Saccharomyces cerevisiae S288C: one gene and its partners. Changing the gene in region 2 together with the main gene of any one other region gives a genetic interaction. Each region holds a gene or a part of one and is shown on either strand. Other genes may lie near its edges.

The links.
Region 1: mutations in KGD4 (region 2) and ZRT1 together harm fitness more than expected from each alone (negative genetic interaction), as found in Saccharomyces cerevisiae (one large-scale study listed by BioGRID).
Region 3: mutations in KGD4 (region 2) and HPF1 together harm fitness more than expected from each alone (negative genetic interaction), as found in Saccharomyces cerevisiae (one large-scale study listed by BioGRID).
Region 4: mutations in KGD4 (region 2) and IRC8 together harm fitness more than expected from each alone (negative genetic interaction), as found in Saccharomyces cerevisiae (one large-scale study listed by BioGRID).

What each region holds. Positions count from the first base shown.
Region 1 is NC_001139.9:17,748-22,608, reverse strand, and holds ZRT1 (high-affinity Zn(2+) transporter ZRT1), read right to left. Parts: upstream 1,632-4,861; coding exon 501-1,631; downstream 1-500. Other genes in the region: FZF1 (Fzf1p), read right to left, coding at 1-305. UniProt on the Saccharomyces cerevisiae protein: High-affinity zinc transport protein.
Region 2 is NC_001138.5:245,996-250,165, reverse strand, and holds KGD4 (alpha-ketoglutarate dehydrogenase subunit KGD4), read right to left. Parts: upstream 1,644-4,170; coding exon 1,272-1,643; downstream 1-1,271. Other genes in the region: RET2 (coatomer subunit delta), read left to right, coding at 1-3; PRE4 (proteasome core particle subunit beta 7), read left to right, coding at 300-1,100; RMD8 (Rmd8p), read right to left, coding at 2,032-4,020. UniProt on the Saccharomyces cerevisiae protein: Molecular adapter that is necessary to a form a stable 2-oxoglutarate dehydrogenase enzyme complex (OGDC).
Region 3 is NC_001147.6:27,567-34,406, forward strand, and holds HPF1 (mannoprotein), read right to left. Parts: upstream 4,041-6,840; coding exon 1,137-4,040; downstream 1-1,136. UniProt on the Saccharomyces cerevisiae protein: Involved in cell wall organization and biosynthesis.
Region 4 is NC_001142.9:337,306-342,755, reverse strand, and holds IRC8 (Irc8p), read right to left. Parts: upstream 2,970-5,450; coding exon 501-2,969; downstream 1-500. Other genes in the region: ATP-dependent RNA helicase MTR4, read right to left, coding at 1-234; glyceraldehyde-3-phosphate dehydrogenase (phosphorylating) TDH1, read right to left, coding at 3,487-4,485; YJL052C-A (uncharacterized protein), read left to right, coding at 4,753-4,872.

The DNA of each region.
Region 1 (4,861 bases), on a different chromosome or scaffold from region 2:
GATGCAAGCTTGCTTTTTCTTTCATGACTATTTAAATGCCTTCTTAATTGCTGATTTGTGACAAATCTTTTTTGACATAATGTGCACGCTTTGGGCTTGATTTGTGAATGAGTCCATTTGTGAACTCGTAGATGGCACGGTCTTATAAATTTTTTGCCACATCCCGGCTCATCACAATGATACGGCTTTTGATTGGTATGCGAATTTTGGTGTTGCTGAAGCAAACTAGGTCTGTTGTAGACTTTCTCACAACCGTCAAAAGAACATTTGTAATTTCTAGACTTGGTTCTCCCTATATCCGTCATTGTTTTGGTGGCCACGTATTCTGGTACCACTTGTGCACACCAGCGTAAAAGTTGTCATTTTCATCTTCTTTAGCGTATTTATTGTCCGAGACTGTTAAAGAAAAATTATTACTGTTTTTTTGCTATTACTAAAGAATAAATAACTATAAAATATGAAATAGAATCTATATGGAACATGCAGAATTTCGCTTTGGTTTAAGCCCACTTACCGATCAAAGCCATGATACCAGCACCGAAAAGAGTGCATATAACGTTGAAGGACAATTCTCTTAGATCCTTTGTTCTTTGAGGATTGAATATAAAGTCTCTTGCTAGTAGTTCAACCAAACCAGTGTACAATAAGATACCAGCAGAAATGGCATCCAAAACACCAGAGATAACAAGCGCAGTGTAAGAACCGCTGACGTATCTGGTACGAACACCCAAACCGATGGCCACACAGATTGGTGTGGTTAACCCATACGCAACACATAGGGCCCATGGCCACCATCTCTTTGATCTAGGGAATTCAATGGCTGACAATCTTGCACCAATACCTAAACCTTCAAATGATTGATGGAACACTAAGACAGGGTATAGGGAGGAGAACTCATCACCAACACTTCCCAGGTTTAGACCGATCATAACGGAGTGGAAAATCACACCGAATTCTAAAATTAAAAAGGCATAAAATTGTGCTTGAAATGATTGAACAACATCCATGGATGTAGCGTCTGAATCTTCATAATACTCTACTCCGTTCTTGGTGTCATGAGATCCATTTGCAGTACCATTCTCATTGTCATTCTCACTTGAAACAGCTGCAGTGTTTCTCACAACAGTGTCTTTAATTTCATCGTGGGTATGGTCATGGGAAAGACCATACTTTCTTTCAACCCAGACGCTACTGAATAGATCAGTAAGGAAAGTGAAGGTCAAACTCGTTAGCATAATGGCAGGACACCATGAATAAAGACCCCAGTTACCGGTTTGTCCTACACAAGTGGTACCACCAATCGCACCATAAGCAGGGTCCATTAAGTGGATAAATGCGGTTGCAACAATAACACCGGAACCAAAATACTTTGCGAAAAGGTAAACATATAGAGGAATTCTCAATCTTTTCACTTTTGTTGAGATTAATGGGAACATGGTGAAAAAAGTACTCACGAAAAGAATAACAAAGACGGAAGATATTCTGGCACCTAAGTTACCATTGTACTCGTTTCCACCAAAGTAAACACCTTGCAAAACACAGGTCTTCCACACATCATCAGGGGTTTTATCGGCAAGTGTAACTTCAGAAGGGTCCCATTGTTTCCACCACGGCGTAGTAACGTTGCTCATAATTCCTTTTTTGATATTTGTGCTGTTGTTTTATTGTCTATACTTGCAGTTTTTTTGTAAATAGGGAAGAGATGAGATCATGACAGCCGATACCAGGCCTCTATTTATAACTAAGTCATCGAGCTAATGCCGTGCGTAATTTCTTTTTTTCTTAATTTCGTTCTACACATTTGCTCTCAACCTACTTTCCATGACCTTCAAGGTCAAATATGTTCATCTGTCTCATCTCATTGGAGAGAAGATACCTGAGCACATCTGATAATTTTGGGAAATGTCATTGTAATTTGAAGAATACCGCACAGATGAGAACCTTGAGGGTATCTTTGGTCCTTCGAGGTTTTTACAGGCAAGAGAGTACGGGTGTATTGTTTTTTAAGCAGCAACTATATTTTTTTTTAGTTATCTGGCGCGCGCGCCTTAGCTGAAGAAAACTGACGGTAACGGTACCCCAAAGGTCACAATAAGTACTTGCGCCATGTTCTAGTGCATTTGACTAATTTGCCGTAGCGTGGATCTGCATTGTCCAAAGGGTAGGAGTCACATCAGGTGTTTGTTGCGCCCAGTTTGGAAACATTTGTCCCATAGAGTGATGAATGTGAGCTCATGTCGCCGTAATCGCCGTGTAATTTACCGCAGGAATTGGCCATAATCAGACATTAGTGTCAATTTGTCCTTTCATATTAGGAAAGTCTGAAATACTCTTGCCTTCTAGAAAATTTTCATAGAAGCTTGGCAATTGCTTCTCTCAAATGCTGTTATTTCCACCCTAATGAAAGAAGCATATCAGATTCAGAGATCTTGTTAAATCCAATTTTATGTCATAATGTCGATAATTGACGTAATTTCCATTTCGTACTATGTAAAATAATGCTTATTTGGCACTTTGGTGTTTGGCAGAATACCATTTCTTTTTATTAGGGACAAAAAAAGAAATATCTGACCTGAAAGTATTTTTTTTTTTATTATAGATTTTCTCTCCAGGTACATCTATCTCAAGTCTAACCGGGATTTGACGTCTAATAGATTTTAAAATACCAATTGAAGATTGGTGCCGCTTGTTTTCCTTCTTAAAACAAGCGTATTCTTTCTAAGGCTCTCCTCCCACAAAATAATCTTTAAAGTATCGATTATCAAGGTGGACACAAAGGATATAATGTGGAGCAGTGAAACATCTGCAATCCGGGAATCGGAGAGCATTTAGAAAAATTGTGAAGAAACAGCAAGTTTTAGGCCAAATAATTTTTCTTCTTGAAGCATCAAGTTATCCGTGGCATACTTTGAATGGAAACTGAATTAACTGCTGTGATACAGAACAAAAATAAAGAGGATGGCAGGGAGAGGAAATGATAAAATAAGTTACGCCACTTAAGCAAAAATGATAGATGAAGGGCCCAATTAAAGATCACTTTTTTCTTAGCGAAGTATGCGGGAGAATGCTTGATTGACTCTCGTAAAGGCTCTCGAAAAAAATAGGCGCGTTTAGTAACAAAGAACATGGTAGTACAATTGATTAATACTTTTTTTTTCTGTTTTAGCAGTGGAGCTCTTAGCGAAGGAGCGATGTGCTGTGGGACTTCTCAACCCCCTTCATTCTGTAATTTGCCTAATTCATATTATGAGGATTTGTCGTCCTAAAATTTGGAAGTAGCATATTTCTTCTTCACTCAAGAAGAAATACCCCTCTAGATATTAGCTTTATTCTGGTGGCCTGTCACTGTCACATATATTATTCAATGATTATTGGTTTTCTAGTTCCATTCGCACGATAACAGAGGAACAATCTATTTACAGTAGCGCTGATGGCATCTTGTGTGAAACTAATGGTATTTGCGTAGACAAAACCCAATACACATCTAAATTGTCGATACTTGTGAGGTGTGGATATTCTAACGATCAAAATAGCTTAGATGAAACGACTTGCTGTGCTGCGGGTGTGACTGAATGTATTTTCAACGTACTGAATGTACTCTCAACGTGGGCGTGAAGTTGAGGGCTGGGCAGAATCTAGAGTGGATCATAGCAAATATGTTAAACATAGAAGTAAACTGAGAGACTGACGAGTTTCTTTTGTCAACAGGCGTTGAATCTTGTTAGATATTAACGAGGTGGATTTTTGGCAGGTAATTTCGCAACCCGACTTTTCAATTTGCGCTTCCCATATTTTACACTTTTTTTAGTCAGTAAATGCAAACGACAGCAAATAAATGAATTAAATCAGCTAAGAAAGGAAAAAAATTAGAAGGAAATGGTAGTTAAAACATGGACAATTTAGTGTATTGCTTGTTACTGGTTTTACGGAAAGCTATATGATATAAACTAGCCAAAAGAATAATTTTTATGAAATTGAAATGTAAGATGTCGTTTAATTGATAGTTAGAGTTTTTCTATTAATATTTAGATCTAGCAAGTTTCTTTACAGCTACATCTAACATTCAAATTTACGGTTTTGTTTGAATGATTATTACTCTATTGACAAACTGTCTGAACATATACATTTTGGGTGCATTGAAGTATGCACATTATATTAAGACATGTTTAACCATAAAAACAGTTCTTAACTGGTGCGCACTATTGCTGAGTATCCAAAGGAATGATCGTATTTAAAATTTTACATTTGAAAGAAAAACAGGCGGATGCGCTAACAAAATTCTAGCGCTATGTGAATTTTTTAATGCAGGATCCATGATCTTAACCTATGTCTACGAGCTACTGAAGGCCCTCGTTTTTCTATTCGATCACGAGCTCTACTGCTGGGCAATTCCGATGTACTTTAGTCATATCGATGATATAAAGACTGTATTAATATTTGTCAGTTAAATAAAAAAAGTATTTCTTTGGAAAACGTTGAAAATGAGGTTCTATGATCTACTGCGGCAAGTTCATCTTCCAAGGAGAACATAGAATAAATTTGGTACTGGAACGTTGATTAACTCTTCATGAATTTTTTTTAATTAGGAACTTTCATAGTAGATTAGCCAACTATTCTTAATGGTTACTATATAAAAACAGAAAAGAGGGGCCGTTTCTTGTGATATAAATATTACCTGTAATTTTCATTATTATGGTTTAGTTATAGAAGTTCATCATTAAAAAACTATCAGTAAATTTTAATTAAAACTTTCGCGAGAAGAAGGTACATGATCATTTTGAATAAACAAAAAAAATGTTTCGACCTAGTATTCGATAAATAAACATTTATTTGCTGACAATTTTTAAGATTTCATCGTCTC
Region 2 (4,170 bases):
TAGTACGTTACATTCACATATAAAATACTTAAGTTATATACACAAACTAAATAAATAAAAATCGAGGTATCTTTTCTTTCGTCCTTCTATATATATAGTTTAACTTACTCTTATTCTTTATTATTTTTCCTTTTAGGGTTACCCGTCAATCCTTTTTATTAAAGATGTTCCAGCTTCTTGGTTTAGAATTTGCCACCTTAAATACGTACCCACATAGTAAAGTACAGCTAAGTTAAGAAAGGGGATAAGCAGCAGGAATCCTTCATCTTCCGCCGAAAACAACATAAAAACCCACACGAATGAATCACGATCCTTTCAGTTGGGGCAGGCCCGCAGACTCTACTTATGGTGCTTACAATACACAAATTGCGAACGCAGGCGCCTCTCCCATGGTTAATACACAGCAACCAATAGTAACAGGTACTTCCGTCATATCAATGAAATATGATAATGGGGTTATCATTGCAGCAGATAATTTAGGTTCATATGGCTCTCTTCTAAGATTCAATGGCGTGGAGAGGCTTATTCCCGTGGGTGATAACACCGTTGTGGGCATTTCAGGTGATATTTCTGATATGCAACACATTGAGAGATTATTGAAAGATCTAGTCACTGAAAATGCGTATGACAATCCTCTAGCGGATGCTGAAGAAGCGCTCGAACCCAGCTATATTTTTGAATATCTAGCTACCGTCATGTACCAGCGAAGATCAAAGATGAATCCACTTTGGAATGCCATCATTGTTGCTGGTGTACAGTCTAATGGTGATCAATTCCTAAGATACGTAAATCTTCTAGGTGTTACGTATTCGTCTCCCACCTTGGCCACAGGTTTTGGGGCACACATGGCAAACCCACTGTTAAGGAAAGTTGTAGATCGAGAATCTGATATTCCAAAGACCACTGTACAGGTTGCTGAAGAGGCGATCGTAAATGCAATGAGAGTTCTTTATTATAGAGATGCCCGTTCTTCTAGAAACTTCTCACTGGCCATAATTGATAAGAACACAGGTTTAACTTTCAAGAAAAACTTGCAAGTTGAAAACATGAAATGGGACTTCGCCAAGGATATTAAAGGCTACGGTACTCAAAAAATTTAGAAGAGTTTTATCCCACCTTCATTAAATACTCATTTTATTTTTATTTTTCAATTCATAATATCATCACTCTTCTCTCTTCCTAAGTAACTACGTTTTTACATAGATATAATGATATGTGTAAAGAAACTATAAAATAACAAAAAAAAATCATAATATTACTGCATCTATCCTTCACCATGCACCACCGCTATTTATGCTCTCCAATTCATGCTCGTTAATAGGTTTGTACCGAAACCTAGCAGGTAGCTCGAAAATGGAAGCAAGCTCATCTTTTTGCAATGGCCTGTTAACGAATACAGAGGTCTTTGACGAGCTGAGACCAGCATTAGCGCTATGCTTTATTGGCACTACACGGAATGGTTTATAATTTTCCATGAATTTACTCACTGGAATACACTCTTTGCTGCCAGGTAACATTCCGTTGGTAGCGCAAGGATGAACAACGACCTCAGTTGCATGCTTCACTAAGGGATGCCTTGTACCGACGAATTTTATCATCGGCTCATATGCACTCTTTGCTAATCTTATAGGTGTAGCAATCATTTCCCTGTCTTCTTGTACTTTTATCTTACTCTTATTATCGGTTAAAAACCTGGGGAAGTACTCCTTAATGGTTTGCTTTAAAGAATTCAATGCGGCTAGAAATGAAAAAGACTTTTAAGATCACTGAAACACTGCAATCTGGCTAAAATATTAGTCTTCACTATCGTCTTTTTCTCCTTTGTTGATGCGAAAGATGAATTTACATATTCGAGTCCCTTAGTCATATTATTGTACTTTTAATGCAATCTTGAGGGGAGCCAATCAACGAGTGGTTTTACTTGCACGTGACCAAGAATGGTAATAACGGTGAAATATATGACTAAAAACCTTGATAACTAAATATATCATTAATTTATTTTTAATGCCGTCTAGAAGGGTGTATGAATATCTATGTAGAAGTATGACGATGAATAATTACATAACGAACGAAAATCTCTGTTAATGAAAATATAACTCCAAATAAAATGACAAGAATAAACCACCATGTAACACGAGCCATGTTTCTTTCAGCAACAGAGTCAACGCATATATCAAAGAATTCCAAGAAAACTTTGCAACGATCATTTAATACTTGTACTCTTTGGTCAATTTCTAAATACTCCCTCATTGCCACGTACAGTGGATGCAAACTTGGTTCGAACGACCAAAAAAACTCGGGTGTATCCAATATGGTGGATGAAAGGTTAACATCCACTCTCAATTTAAAGAGCTTCCCTGATTTTTTCAAAAGCTGTTCCCTTTTTAACCCAAGGGTACCATATAATGCTAGTCTTTTAGGTAGTTTTGTGACTGATATTAAAATCGGCGAAATTCTGGATTCAAACCTTGATAATTTCGAAGATTGCGCAATCGCATGTGATAGTGTCAGCTCGATAATGTGGTCACCTGAACGTAATGTGACAATATCATTGAAAATTCTCGGTCTCTCGGTATCTCTGTCATATTCGAAATGGAATTGTTCAGTTTCAATATCTTGTTCATCCAGCGGCCGGATCATTAAATTCTTATAATCTGCAAATGTTATATCACCAAGAATATTTTTCTCTTGAATTTCAGTAAAGTTCCAAAAAACAATAACGCCATAGTGAAAAATGAAAATTTCTGCATGTCTATCATTGCCTTCATGGTCGTTGTCCCTATGCATTTTATATACACGATCAAAATCATTCTGTGATGAAGATGGTGGCGATGGCGTAGATATTGATGATGGCGAAGCTGGTGAACGAGAGGACTGTACATACTGATCGTTTCCCTCAACAGCATAAAGTTTACTCTTATCATTATTTTTATTATTATTATCGTTGCCACAACTTGCATCACTGTCGTTTTCCTCCTTCTTCAGCATGTTTATTCTTTCTGTCCTTTCCCGTTTCTCTATCTCTAAGGGAGTTTCTTCCGCAAAAAATTGTGGTTCCATAGGATTAAAAGAGTCTTGCTGACCAACTGGATTTGGTAGATGATCGGGAACTGTTGTGGTGTCTTGATTAGCGTTATTGTTATTTCCACTGGTTTCTAGTTCGTAATTATTATTTGCATCTTCCACAGTTTCCACACCTGAGTAATATTCATAATGATGATCTCTCTGTTCGCTTGTATCAATTAAATTATCAATTAATGTCTTTCCACCCATTGTTTTCTTAGATAAATTTGATTTGATTCTAAAACCGCCTTTACCTGGTAGAAGTGGCAAAGTATACGCAACGTATAGACACTCATCATACAATCTTGGTGAAACCTCATGAGTTTCCTGCAGAAACTTATACAATTGGTTGAGATTGAAGCCATCAGCAACATTATATGCGGTGATTCTTGCCATGGACTTTTCTTTTGAGTATCGAGGTAGCCGATCGAAGGAATTAGACTTCATAGAGCCCACTTTCGGTCTTTGCCTATCCAGCGCGTTCGTTGGTAGAGTTTGAAAGTGGTTCAAGTTGTCGTCTTCCGGTATCAACACTAACTTTTGTGACGTCTTCGATGTTCTTGGAGGCAGGGGATTGATCATCTTTCTACGCGAACTTAACCGCTCATATTGGCGAGGCCTATCGCTTGAAGAGCTGGATAGCCTTTCCTCTCTTCTGGCAGAGGGAATATCTGAATTATCAGAAAGAATATTATCTATGGATATATCGCTAAACCTGCCAGACGATCGCCTTCTTGGATGAGTAAAACTCTGCAGCGGAGAAGGGCCAATAGCGGAAGAGCGAACTCCTTGAGACTTCGTAACTCCTGCGTTTTCCATATTCTTCCTACTACCAGCAGCGTGTCCAGCGAACGGTGCACTCATTCTATTCTTGGATGTTCTTGCATCTGTCACCAGGATGGAAGGTGACCTTTTCGGCATCTCCCCAGGAGATGGTTGGTTAGCCTTATAACTCATACTGTCGTCTTAAATGGAAGTCCTTTCCTTTGCTCCATATGCAATTTTGCATACGAACTTCCGATTGATATAATCTTGTATTAATGTATGCCTAACCTGGTTTTGTTTTTCTTGTAGGTTTTTCTAGCCAGTTTTACTATAAATTGTCAC
Region 3 (6,840 bases), on a different chromosome or scaffold from region 2:
AATACGTTCGAAGAGTATAAAATCGAAGGAAACGAATTAAGTTGCCAATCCTTACTGTAACTATAGCATGTTACATATATGTACCATAAGTATCACATTAAGGTTTCGCCATAGCCATGTGCCTATATTAAATAGAAATATCACATGGCGATCCACGGAATGTTTATAGATTTTCTTCTTTTGTCTATGGCCCGGGCGAGACATTAATTTATCTTGCTGAAAAATTCGAAAGTTAAAACTCAATTATGCGTGGGATTTCTCAATTAGGTTACCAGAATTTCAATCTGCTGAAGAATTATGTCTTAAAAAAAAAAGTCCCGCCTCAAAAAAGCCAAAAAGGGTGTGACTGTAGATTGTGGGTTACTTGCTGTCAAATGACATGAAAATCTCTGCCTGCATGATCCCTGTCAAAATTCGAAAACACGCGGTCATAAAATTGTGCCTCAAAAAGATATCTTTTCCTGCGGGTTCTCTTAGTAAATGAGGTTAGGTTGTTTCCTATTCTTACGAGATTTCCCTTGTTCTCGCCGCTCACATCATTGTCGGTAAGATCTTCCGTAGTGGCAGGTCAAGCAGTGAGGAAGAAAGATCGGCAGTAAACTGATAAGAGCCAAACCGAAAAGTTTCTTATACGCAAAAACGCTTTGAAAATTCTCCAAGAATCCTATTTGAAACTCTTATTAATAAATAAAGTATAAATATAATAAAGTTTATTGTGAGACATGTCGCGATAAGCACCCCTTGTCTTTCTTGGAAGGGAGAAATTTGTAATATAAAGCCAAGTGTTCAGAACTCGATTTTTTTCTGACCAAAGAGCGGAAGCTCCACTATAAAAGTTGGGAGGTACTTTTAGGTTCTCTTAAGTTCGCATTTAATTATGGCCTGAACGATTTTACTGTGGACAATAAGTGAAATAAGTGTCCTTAAAATGTGTACGATGTGTACACATCAACCTAGTCTCCCCTTCATTGGCAGAAGAGGGAACCATTTCATCCAAAAAGAATAAAAAAAATAAAAAAAATCCAAATATTAAGCTAAAAAAATACTTAACTGTTTACACAAAGCGTATATAAAACGCATATTAAGAACCTATCTCGTTTCAGAGGAATAAACTTTTAATTCCTCAGTTAAAAAAATTAGTTAAAGAAAGCAAGAACGAAAATACCGACCAATGCATTCAAAGTATTGGCATTCAAACCTGCGGCAATACCCTCGGACTGGACAATGATACCAGTAGAGGTCTTTATTGGAGCTGCAGATTTGGAGTATGTGGAAATTGCACTAGAAGCCTTGGAAATGGCAGTAGTCAATGAGGTTGCTTTAGAACCCTCAGAAGTGACAGTAGTGTATGACTTTGGAGAAGCACTAGTTGCGGTGACGGTTGAAGTAGCTTCAGGTATTTGAGAGGTGATTATCTTGACGTTACAACCATTGTCATCACATTGAGTAACAGTGGCAGTAGTGTATGTCTTAGGGGCAGCACTGGTTTCTGAAGTTTCTGAAGTTTCTTTAGGAGCTTCAGAAGTGACAGTCTTGGTGCTACATCCATTGTCATCGCACTGAGTAACAGTAGCGGTAGTGTATGTCTTTGGAGAAACAGTAGTGGTTGTGGCTTCAGGGGCCTCAGAGGTGACAGTCTTAGTGTTACAGCCGTTGTCGTCACAGTGAGTAACGGTAACAGTAGTGTATGATTTTGGAGAAGTAGTAGTTGCTGAAGTTTCTTCAGGACATTCAGAAGTGACAGTCTTGGTGTTACAGCCATTGTTGTCACAGTGGGTGACGGTAACAGTGGTGTATGATTTGGAAGAAACGGTTTCAGTGGCGACGGTACCGGTAGACGTAGTTACATGACATCCGGTCTCATCGCAAGAAGTGATAGTGGCGGTGGTAGATGAACATGGTACGGTTGTGGTAATGGTATAGACGTTACCGTTCGAATCAGTTGTTTCTGAACAGGAGACAACTACTGTGCTTGTGGTTGTTGCATATGTTAATGTTGTGGTATAAACAGATGGGGAGCCGGAAATCAAGGTGGAAGCCGTTGAACCAGTCACGGAAGCACCGAATGAAGTGGAAGCGGTTGAACCAGTTACGGAAGCACCGAATGAAGTGGAACCGGAAGTAGAGTTGGTAGCCCCTGATGTGGTAGATGTGGATGAGGGTGTAGCGCTGGAAGCAACAACACCTCCGTAATTTAGATAATAAGCATAGGCACCAGCAAATGTTCCTTCGGAGACGTTGAAGCCAGAACTGGAGAACCCAGTACCAATAGAGAAGGAGAATTGTGAGTTGCCTTGTGTTGCAGTTAAAACACCAGTAGCACTGTCGTAAGAAAGAGCAGTGACATCTGCTGTAATGGCGATTTGGTTTTCACCAGTGTATCCAACCACAGGGATAGGAGTAGTGTTGGTTTCGGTTGGGTCAACGGCAAGAACACCTTCACCCTTGAATACAACAGTTTGGCCAGTAAAGGTGTCTGGATAGTGCAAGTAAAGGTTGCCAGAGATGATGTTGATTGTACCACTTCCAGAAACTGGTTCGACAACGACGTAGGTACTGCCATTCTCAAGATTTATCTCACCGTTGTTGACAGAACCTGATTCAGCTCTACGCTGCAAACCAGAGACGGAACCACCATTGAGAATAGCATTTGAGAAAGAGAAAGCACCAGAGTTAGAGTAGGGAGAGAATGTGACTTCGCCCTTTGTGGACTCTGATAGACTCAAAGAAATATCACCACTGTTATCGAAAGAGCCTGGAGTGAAGGAGTAGGCAGATGCGGAAGAAGCAGCAGGCTCTTCAGCGTTAAAGGTACCAGATACATCAAAGTTTTCACCAGAAATGTCGAATTCGGTACCTGGGTAAGTTGGCTTAGACTTTTCTACGAAAACGCCACCATGGATTATGAAATCAGCAGAGAAAACGTATTTGTCACCATCAAGTAGGGTCAACTTACCACCTGCAGCGACTTCGACAGCTTCAGTTGCAATGACTGAACCGGTGAGTGTGATGTCACCACTGATGGTTGTAGAAGGCAAATAAATAGTACCATCGCTGGAAGAAAGAGAGTTGGAAGCAGTTGCAGTTGCACTAGAAGCCGAAGAGGTAATAGAACTTAAGGTACCGGAGGTGATAGAACCAGAGGCAGTGGAAGCCGATGAGGTTGATTGAGGAATTGAACTCGAGATACCTGGAGCAGAAGAAGCTGATGAACCGGAAACGGAGGAACCAGATTGTGTAACAGAACCGGACGTGCTGGAGGCTGATGAACCGGAAGCGGTACCAGATTGTGTGATAGATGATTCAGATGCTGATGAGGATGAGCCTGATTCTGTGACAGAACCGGATGAGCTAGGAACCGAAGAAGCGGAGCCTGATTCTGTGGCAGAAGATGAACCGGAGACTGATGAGCCTGATTCTGTGGCAGAAGATGAACCGGAGACTGATGAGCCTGATTCTGTGGCAGAAGATGAACCGGAGGCGGATGAGCCTGATTCAGTGGCAGAAGATGAACCGGAGGCGGATGAGCCTGATTCAGTGGCAGAAGTTGAACCGGAGACTGATGAGCCCGATTCAGTGGCGGAGGATGAGCCTGATGTAATGGAAGTAGATGAACCGGAGACTGATGAGCCCGATTCAGTGGCGGAGGATGAACCGGAGGCGGATGAGCCTGATTCAGTGGCAGAAGATGAACTGGAGACTGATGAGCCTGATGAAGTAATAGAAGATGAGCCGGAGACTGAAGAGCCTGATGAAGTAATAGAGCTCGAGACTTCAGAGGACGAGGTTGATGGAGCAATGGAGCTCGAGACTTCGGTGGAGGATGACGTTAACTCAGTGAGAGAGCTCGAGACATCAGAAGTAGATGAGGTCAACTCAATAGAACTACTGATGGAAACGGAACCTGATGAAGTTGACGAAACGGCGGTGGAGCTGTTACTAGCGATTGAGGAACTGTTGGTATAATATTGGCCCAATGCACTTTGGGAGTAAAGGACCAAAGCCAAAGCGGCTTGAAGTTTATTAAAGCGATTGAACATCTCTTTGACAGGCGAGATCTTACCAAAAAGAATCAACGATGGGTATTTGTTGTTACTGACTTGAGAACCAGAAAAGGCATAAACCTAAGATAATGGGATGGCAGAACCGATACTAATGAGATGAATATGAAGCTTTTTATATGCTTTTTGCAAGTGTGAGCGGACTCCGAATACGCAACTGCGTAGATTAACCGCTGGGCTAGCTTAAATCTCCTACGGGCACTTCTGCGGAAGCATCCGCAAGTTCTGTGCGCGCGCGTTCCTTGCAACGAACGGGGGGGCATTTTAATGAGTAAACAAAGATATTCCGCTGCTAATAACAACAAGAGACCCCCTAAGCAGTCTGCAAAACCGTGCAGGACGTGGTCTAAGCTACTTTGATAAGATAGTCACAGGAACCTTTTTGGAAAATTAAACTATTACCGAAAAAAGCCACAACACAGGGCCTAGCACCAAGCATTTTCACCCAATTCGTCATGAAAAGTCATTATTACCTTATTTCCAATTGGAGAGTTAGCCAGGAATCTCCGCTCAGAATGAACTAGCAGTATAAAGAAAAATATACGACTTGGATAAAGAGGAATGCTTTAGTAAGCTACACCTCACTTTTCGATGAAAAGGAGTTAGTGGTTGCCTTCCGTGAGCGCGAGATATTTATTTTTATGTTCCTAAGGCGCGTGTCTACCTCGTATTTCTGCAACGCGAGCACGGTTTTCTGTTGAGGAGTGGCTGGTAAAGGCCCTTTAAAAATACCACGCCATTTTAGTAGGCCCTACTAACTAATTCATAGCAAAATTCAGAACTTATCCATTAGAAATAAATTGCGGTGCCTACGAAAAGAACGTTCCCTTGGCAAAATTAAAGAAAAATTAAACGTGATCGGTCTATCGAGCAGGCCATTGAAGCATATGTACAAGCACGGTTTGAGTGCTTAGAATTGAACAGTTATTACAGTTCTTAACACTGTTTCTCTAAAAGTGCAAAAAAGGCACGGTCACATAGACTAATCTTGCAGCGGTTCCAAGGCTTATTTGTTGAGTTGGGTTAGTGGAACGAAGTAGCAGTCAATTCCAACGTAGATCGGTATATACGTTCAAGCCCCCCTGAAAGTTGCCGAGGCCAAATGGAGAAAATAAGTTGTTCCCCTCTTTTTATTAAGAATTAAAGTGTTCTATTTTAGATTGATTTCCTACCATTGGTTTCAACTTCTCTCTCTGATTCAGTTAAGCGACGGTGTTTTTAATTCAGATTTGATTGTCCGTCTCCATTTTTTGGTAAGATAAGTGTGAGCAAGTTTGAGGGGTTACTACTGACTCAGAAACCGTACTGCTATGTAGTACTTGCCTTCGTCCTACCTAGTAACTATTATTTCTACCTAGGAAACATTTTAGGGTATGATCTACCCCATTGCGGGGTGCCTTTTTCTTACGTTAGCGAGTACTCGAATGAGGGTGAAATGGCATCGTCATTGATTGCCGAGGACAGACTCCCCAACATTGAGGTGTTTATGGTTGGCCTTACTGATAAACCATAAAAATACGGTCCGATATGTGTAGTGGTTCCGTTATATTTTTGGCATGGTAAGCATGTATAGGTATATGCTACATTCAATTATCTGGAAAGGCGGTTTTTTAAGCTCATTTTCTTTTTTGAGCTTATTCTTGAAGATAATGCTATCACACGTGCATAATAAAATAGTAGCTTTTTCTTGTAACTGCGCTCTTTTTTAGCCGCATTCCAATTTAGCCTTAAATCGTGAACGTGGAGATGATTATTTCATCTCAACTAACTTGTATAACCTTATTTGCGTAGTCTTCGCGGGGTAATTTTTGATGGTGTAAACTTTTACCATAGAAATACGATACTCTACATGTAGTTTTGTCTATTTAGTGAAATCCGACAAACTGCGACGGCTAGCAAGTTCTTGCTTGTTTCTCACTAACAGCTTATTCTTTCAAGGAAAGGTGTATAATTAGTTCGACAAAATTCAGTCCGATTCCAAAAATATGGTTGCTGAATCGAGAATCAACTATTGTTAATTGACTAGCAGTCTTCTTGCTAGTATATATGACATACTGGTGCAAATATGGCATAACATCAAGAGGCAGTCATCATATCTAAAGGATACAGAAATGGAAGGATTGATAATGTAACAAGGTAATGAACGACAATATGTAAAATGAATGAAAGCCTCAATAATATCATACAGACAAAAATCGATTCCCTTTTGTGAATTTTTTTTTTTGTATCCTCCAGGAGAAATTCATACCTAATGAGAACAGTGGAATCCCAACACAATTATCTAATTTTTTCATCTATTTCTCATAGATAAAATGAAATTTCAATAATTGACCAATATTCACCTGGCCCATAATCAATCGCTGTAATAAAATCTCCAAAAAGGGTAAAACTAAACAACTTTTAAAATGTGAAAAATTAAGTAAAGAAAAAGATAAGAATAAAGTCCAACAAGAGTCAACTGCTTGAAATTTTCAGCTGAAGTGGAAAAGAGGTGCTGATCATTGAGTGCCAAACGGAAGTTTGTTGCTGCCGCAATGTCAATGAAGCATTAAGCTCTGACGTTTTGCCGTTTCTTTTTGGGCAGTATGCGATCAATTTATGCTAGCCAAAAGAAAAAAATCGTATGCGCGCTGAATCAGCCGTAGCTAGCTGTCGACAATGACATGGCGGAAGCGCTGTTTTTAAAGGCTTCTTATAATTGACCTTCAGGGTTAGGACCCTGAAGGTTTTTTGTAGCCATACTGCTTACAAGAATGTAACCTCTTTGGAGGAAAAAGAA
Region 4 (5,450 bases), on a different chromosome or scaffold from region 2:
TACTACAACTTTTTTGTTTTTATCTTCCGTTTTGCTCTTATTGGATTTGATTTTTTTATTTTCACTGTTGTTTTCCTCATGCTCTTCTTTTTCTTCTTCAAGGCCATGCTTCTTATCCTGGGTATGATCTGGAGTATCTCCTACGTTTGTATCAGCATTTTTTTCTCCATTACTATCTGTAGGAAGCTCAACAGGTGTTTCCTCGAAAACATCGAACAGATCAGTAGAATCCATCCTTCGTATATAATCTATATTTCTTGCAGGTGCTTAAAATATAGGCAGGGAATGTTGAGTCACCGAAAATGAATTATTATATAGGTATTAATTTACGCACTACACTGGTATACTTTTCTTTTACTATGTGCATCTCATCGCAAGAAAGTGAAAAAAAAAAAAAAAAAAAAAAATTTAATGAAATAAATCGTGTTCTACGGGATCAAAATAGTTGCTTTTAGCAGTTCCCATAGGTATCTTTGATACATATGAATAAGTCGGTTGGTTTATTTACTGGGAGAGACTAGTTCTTCAACAGGTCCGCTCTCTATAGTTTTTTCGGGCGCTATCTCTTTTAGATTCCTCAAAACATTCCATTTTTCTCTATCATACTCGCTGAACACTACTTCTGGATAGCCAGAACCAGATCCCGCCGATTCTTGCTCAGAACCGCTTGATGATGACTGTATAGATTGTGGTGTGTCCAGAACTGGCTCCTCTCCGTTCAATGTACATGTGGCGTTATTGTGCTGGAGATAGAATAATGTACTTGCAGTTCTAAGCGCTCTTTCATTAACAGTACTCTGGGTTCTATCATTGTTTAAAGAATCCCGACGAGAATTTCCCGAGGTTGATTTTGTAGGTGAATGACTGCTTTGCAAAGTACGTACGTAGCTAAAATCAATACTCTGGTTTTTATTGTGACCATGGCCAAACGAGTAGTTTATCGGATCTGTTGTACTACCCTCATATGGCGACATTGTATCAGAGATATTTGATAATGACAATTTCTTTCCAAATCTCATTCTCAACGACTTGGTTGGAGATGAATGCGGTGAGGTGTTGGACATCATATTAGAAGAAGAACCCTGTAATAGCTGATTTATTTGAGAATTGTTTCTTGAATGACCCGTAAAAAAGTTGCTTAGGGTGCTGTGTGAATGTTGGTGCTTGACACTTCCTGATCCACTGATCATGGAAATTATCGATTTGGTTGGTGAATGCCTTGTACTAAATCTACTCATATCCTTTGGGCCATTGTCAATAGTAGTTGAGGATAGGTTGTTTTGGTTCAAACTGCTTTCAATCAGCTGACTTGCATCCTCTTCTTGAATGCTGGGATCATGTAAATACTCATCTAGTTCGCTAATAGTATCTGAAGTTTTAAACTCCTGTTGGTTAAATTGGTCTGATGTAGCAATTTGTAATCCTGCACTTTTAAAGGGAAAGCTGAAGTTGTTTTGGGCATGCAGTTCAACTTCCAATTCGGTGGATGTACTTGGATCCATATCACTTTCAGAGGTGAATCTGAAAGGGGGTAGTAATTTGCTTTTATCCCGGTTTGTGGTTACTTTTTGAAGTATTTTCTCCTGATCCTTTTCCCACATCTCTAAAGTGACACGGGCTGGCAAATCCACGTGTTTGGTATATTGTTGTTCGAAATCGTCTTCTATATCAGATGATATCCTTGGGACTTGTGGAATGTCTTGTAGTTCATTAGTCATTAAGATATCACCTACATAGAAATCATCGTCAACTTCCACCTGGGGTATCAATGGTGTTGCTTGGTATGAGTCCTCATTTTGAGTGCTTTGCTGTGGGGATATCATTTTATCTGTTACTCTCAAACATGCAGGAAGTAAGGCACTATTAATTCTCCCAATAGCTTCTCTTTCTAACTCCAAGTTTGGAGAATCAATAGTATGCGAATCATGGGGAGTTTTGTATTTCAAAGTATTATTTCCTTCGTTAATTATTATTGAAACTCTTCCTTCACTTGGTGTTCTCGCAGTGGAAGTCGAATTCCCGTTTTTTTCGTTTAATGCTAAGAAATTCAGGAAACTTTTCGAGATGTCAGATATGGTTGATAGTCTGGATACATACTGGCTACTTCGGTGGTTGCTTTTCTTTTCTGTCGGAACCTTAGTAGCTTGTTGTGTATTTCTTTTGTATCGATTTTCTTTAGGACCCAAAAAGAAACTGTTATATTTTTTCAATTTAGAAAAATGCGAATGAGATGGCTTTTTAGGACACTTGCTGGTGCTAATCGGTCCTAATTTGTGTCGAATAACTGAAGAGTTTGAATTTTCATCGGATGATATGGTTTTGTTTGCGTTTGTGTTTGAATTTGTGGAGAGTTCATTAATCAGCCACGCTACCCCATTCATACTCTTGGGACTACCGTGTAATAATTCCAAATCTGGTGTTAAGGTCTGTGAAGAGTTCTTAAGGGGTACAAATCTACCATTTTCCACCGCATTTGCTTCTTTGTCATATTGATCCGTACTAATATTGTTAGATGAGCTGCCGAAATTGTTCGCATTGCCATCCTTCAGGAAGAATCCTAATTGTATGCCATTAATGAAAAGTGTGAAAATTAACAAAGAATCCAGAGTTGTTATATAGACTCTGTGAGACTCGCTTTGTACCGATATTGGGCTCCTCAAGGTATTATGAAAATAGTCCACTGTGCAGCCCATGGTGATCAGTGGCAATGCAAAATTAAGAACGTTGTAAAAGTATCCAATATGAAACTTGCTAGGCGCAAAAACAGTCTCTGTGATAAACGATATCAGTGACGGTATTCCATATAACAATGTCGAGCATACAATAACTATCAGTACCGCTTCGTGGTCGTGGAACTTGCATAGCAATGCGATAGCAATGGCACCTGTGGCAATTGAGAGAAGAGCACTTCCGAACTTGATCCCCAAAAAACCAGCCTTATTTCCGCTCCTAACAGAATTATGGCACATAAGAGAGTATGATTCCTTTCTTAGTATATATATACTGCTCAAGGGCAAATGCAATTACTTTGGAAATGCTTTCTTGTTCTGATACGTAAGAAGACAAGTAATCTCTGGACTAAAAGTGGAGCCGGAATAGAGACTCTCTTAGTATCAGTATCCACCTCTTCAAAGGATAATGCGTTCTTTGCCAATAGTCACATATTGTGGGTATGTGCGTTTTGCAAAGGCAGCAATATATTGTTTACTTATTTCCCAAAAAGGAAAAATCTTTAAACCATCCTAGAACTTCAATTCACCACGTTCAGGGTAATATATTTTAACCGCCGACGTTCTCGCCATAACTTTTAAACAGTGATAACTAGTATTGAAACTTAGAAGAGAAAAGGGTAAAGTTAATGCTTAATCTTGTCTTGGCTTAAAAAGTAATATGTACTTATTTACGTCTTCACAAAATCTAGCAGAAAAACGGTAGTATTTATGTATATTCAAAAAAAAATCATTATCCTCATCAAGATTGCTTTATTTAAGCCTTGGCAACATATTCGATCAAGTCAACAACTCTGGCGGAGTAACCGTATTCGTTATCGTACCAGGAAATCAACTTGACGAACTTTGGAGACAATTGGATACCAGCGGAGGCATCGAAGATGGAAGCGTGAGTGTCACCCAAGAAATCAGAGGAGACAACGGCATCTTCGGTGTAACCCAAAACACCCTTCATTGGACCTTCAGCGGCAGCCTTAACAGCCTTCTTGATTTGGTCGTAAGTAGCTTCCTTTTCCAACTTGACAGTCAAGTCAACAACGGAAACATCGACGGTTGGGACTCTGAAAGCCATACCGGTCAACTTACCTTGCAATTCTGGCAAGACCTTACCGACAGCCTTAGCAGCACCGGTAGAGGATGGGATAATGTTACCGGAAGCGGTTCTACCACCTCTCCAGTCCTTGTGGGATGGACCATCAACAGTCTTTTGAGTGGCGGTCATGGAGTGAACAGTGGTCATCAAACCTTCTTCAATACCGAAAGCATCGTTGATAACCTTGGCCAATGGAGCCAAACAGTTGGTGGTACAAGAAGCGTTGGAGACAATCTTCTTGTCTGGAGTGTATTTAGTGTGGTTAACACCAACAACAAACATTGGAGCAGAAGAAGATGGAGCAGTGATGACAACCTTCTTGGCACCAGCGTCAATGTGCTTTTGAGCGGTGTCCAATTCCTTGAAAACACCAGTGGAGTCAACAGCGACATCGATCTTTAGAGAACCCCATGGCAAGTTAGCTGGGTCTCTTTCTTGGTAGGTAGCGATCTTGACACCATCAATGATGATGTGCTTGTCGTCATGGGAAACAGTACCCTTGTATCTACCATGAGTAGAATCGTACTTGACCATGTAAGCAGCATAATCGTTAGAGATAAATGGATCGTTGACAGCAACAACCTCAATGTCTTTTCTTTGCAAAGCCAATCTCAAGACCAATCTACCGATTCTACCGAAACCGTTAATAGCAATTCTGATCATTTTGTTTTGTGTGTAAATTTAGTGAAGTACTGTTTTTTGTGTGTGTTGGTGAAATATCAAACCAAGTTCTTGATGAATTTCTTATTTATGCAAGAGAGAGAATAGAACTGTACTACAAATCTCATTGTGTGAAAATATATTGTCTATTTATATGATTTCGAGACTCCAGTTTTGGTCATTATCACCAAGCTCTTACTGCTACAGAGAATGAACATGCTCCTCCCCCCCTTCTTCAGACTATGTTGTTCTGCACGTGGATACCGTCGCATGCACCTAAGAAGCAGATGGTGGCTTGCCTTACTGTATTGTAAAGATCCAGTCTCCAGATCTGCGACCACTCCGAAGGTTGAAACCCGAGCTTCCTGTTTGCTGTCTCGCGCCTTTTAAAAAAAAAGCGCGATTATGGGCCGCTCGTGACAGTAAAGGAAGCAAGCAGATCGACCCCCTGAAAATGTGGTGTGGTTACTAAGCAGAAGCGTCTTCGTCGCATATCCTATTCCTAGCGCAACAAGGCCCCACGGTGTGGTTTCATGTGACGTGGAGTCATGTAGGCTTGTGGTGCGCACATTTTTACTAAGCTCAACAACCCTACTGGCGCTGCTGGAAGTGAATGGCGAGTAGATACTATCAAGTGTTGGCTGGTGGGACATATCAGCAACTAATGGATAGAATAAATTGGATCAGAAGCTCAGCCCAACTTATCCTCCATATGGTGATATAGAGTGTAAATGAGCATATACATTCGTTTCTTTTTCTCCTCCCATTAGTCTGGCCCTTTAGCATACAAGTCAACTGTAGTTTTCAGAAGCGGGCTTTTCTTGGTTTTTGTTATGTTACCTGTGAGAAACTAATCCATCGAGAAATTTACTCATTTTTTTTTTTACTCCAAGCTGCTTTTACTTAGCTAAACATAAAAAAAGATATTTCTTATGCATTAACTTGAAGAAAAATTGTTCCCTTGGACA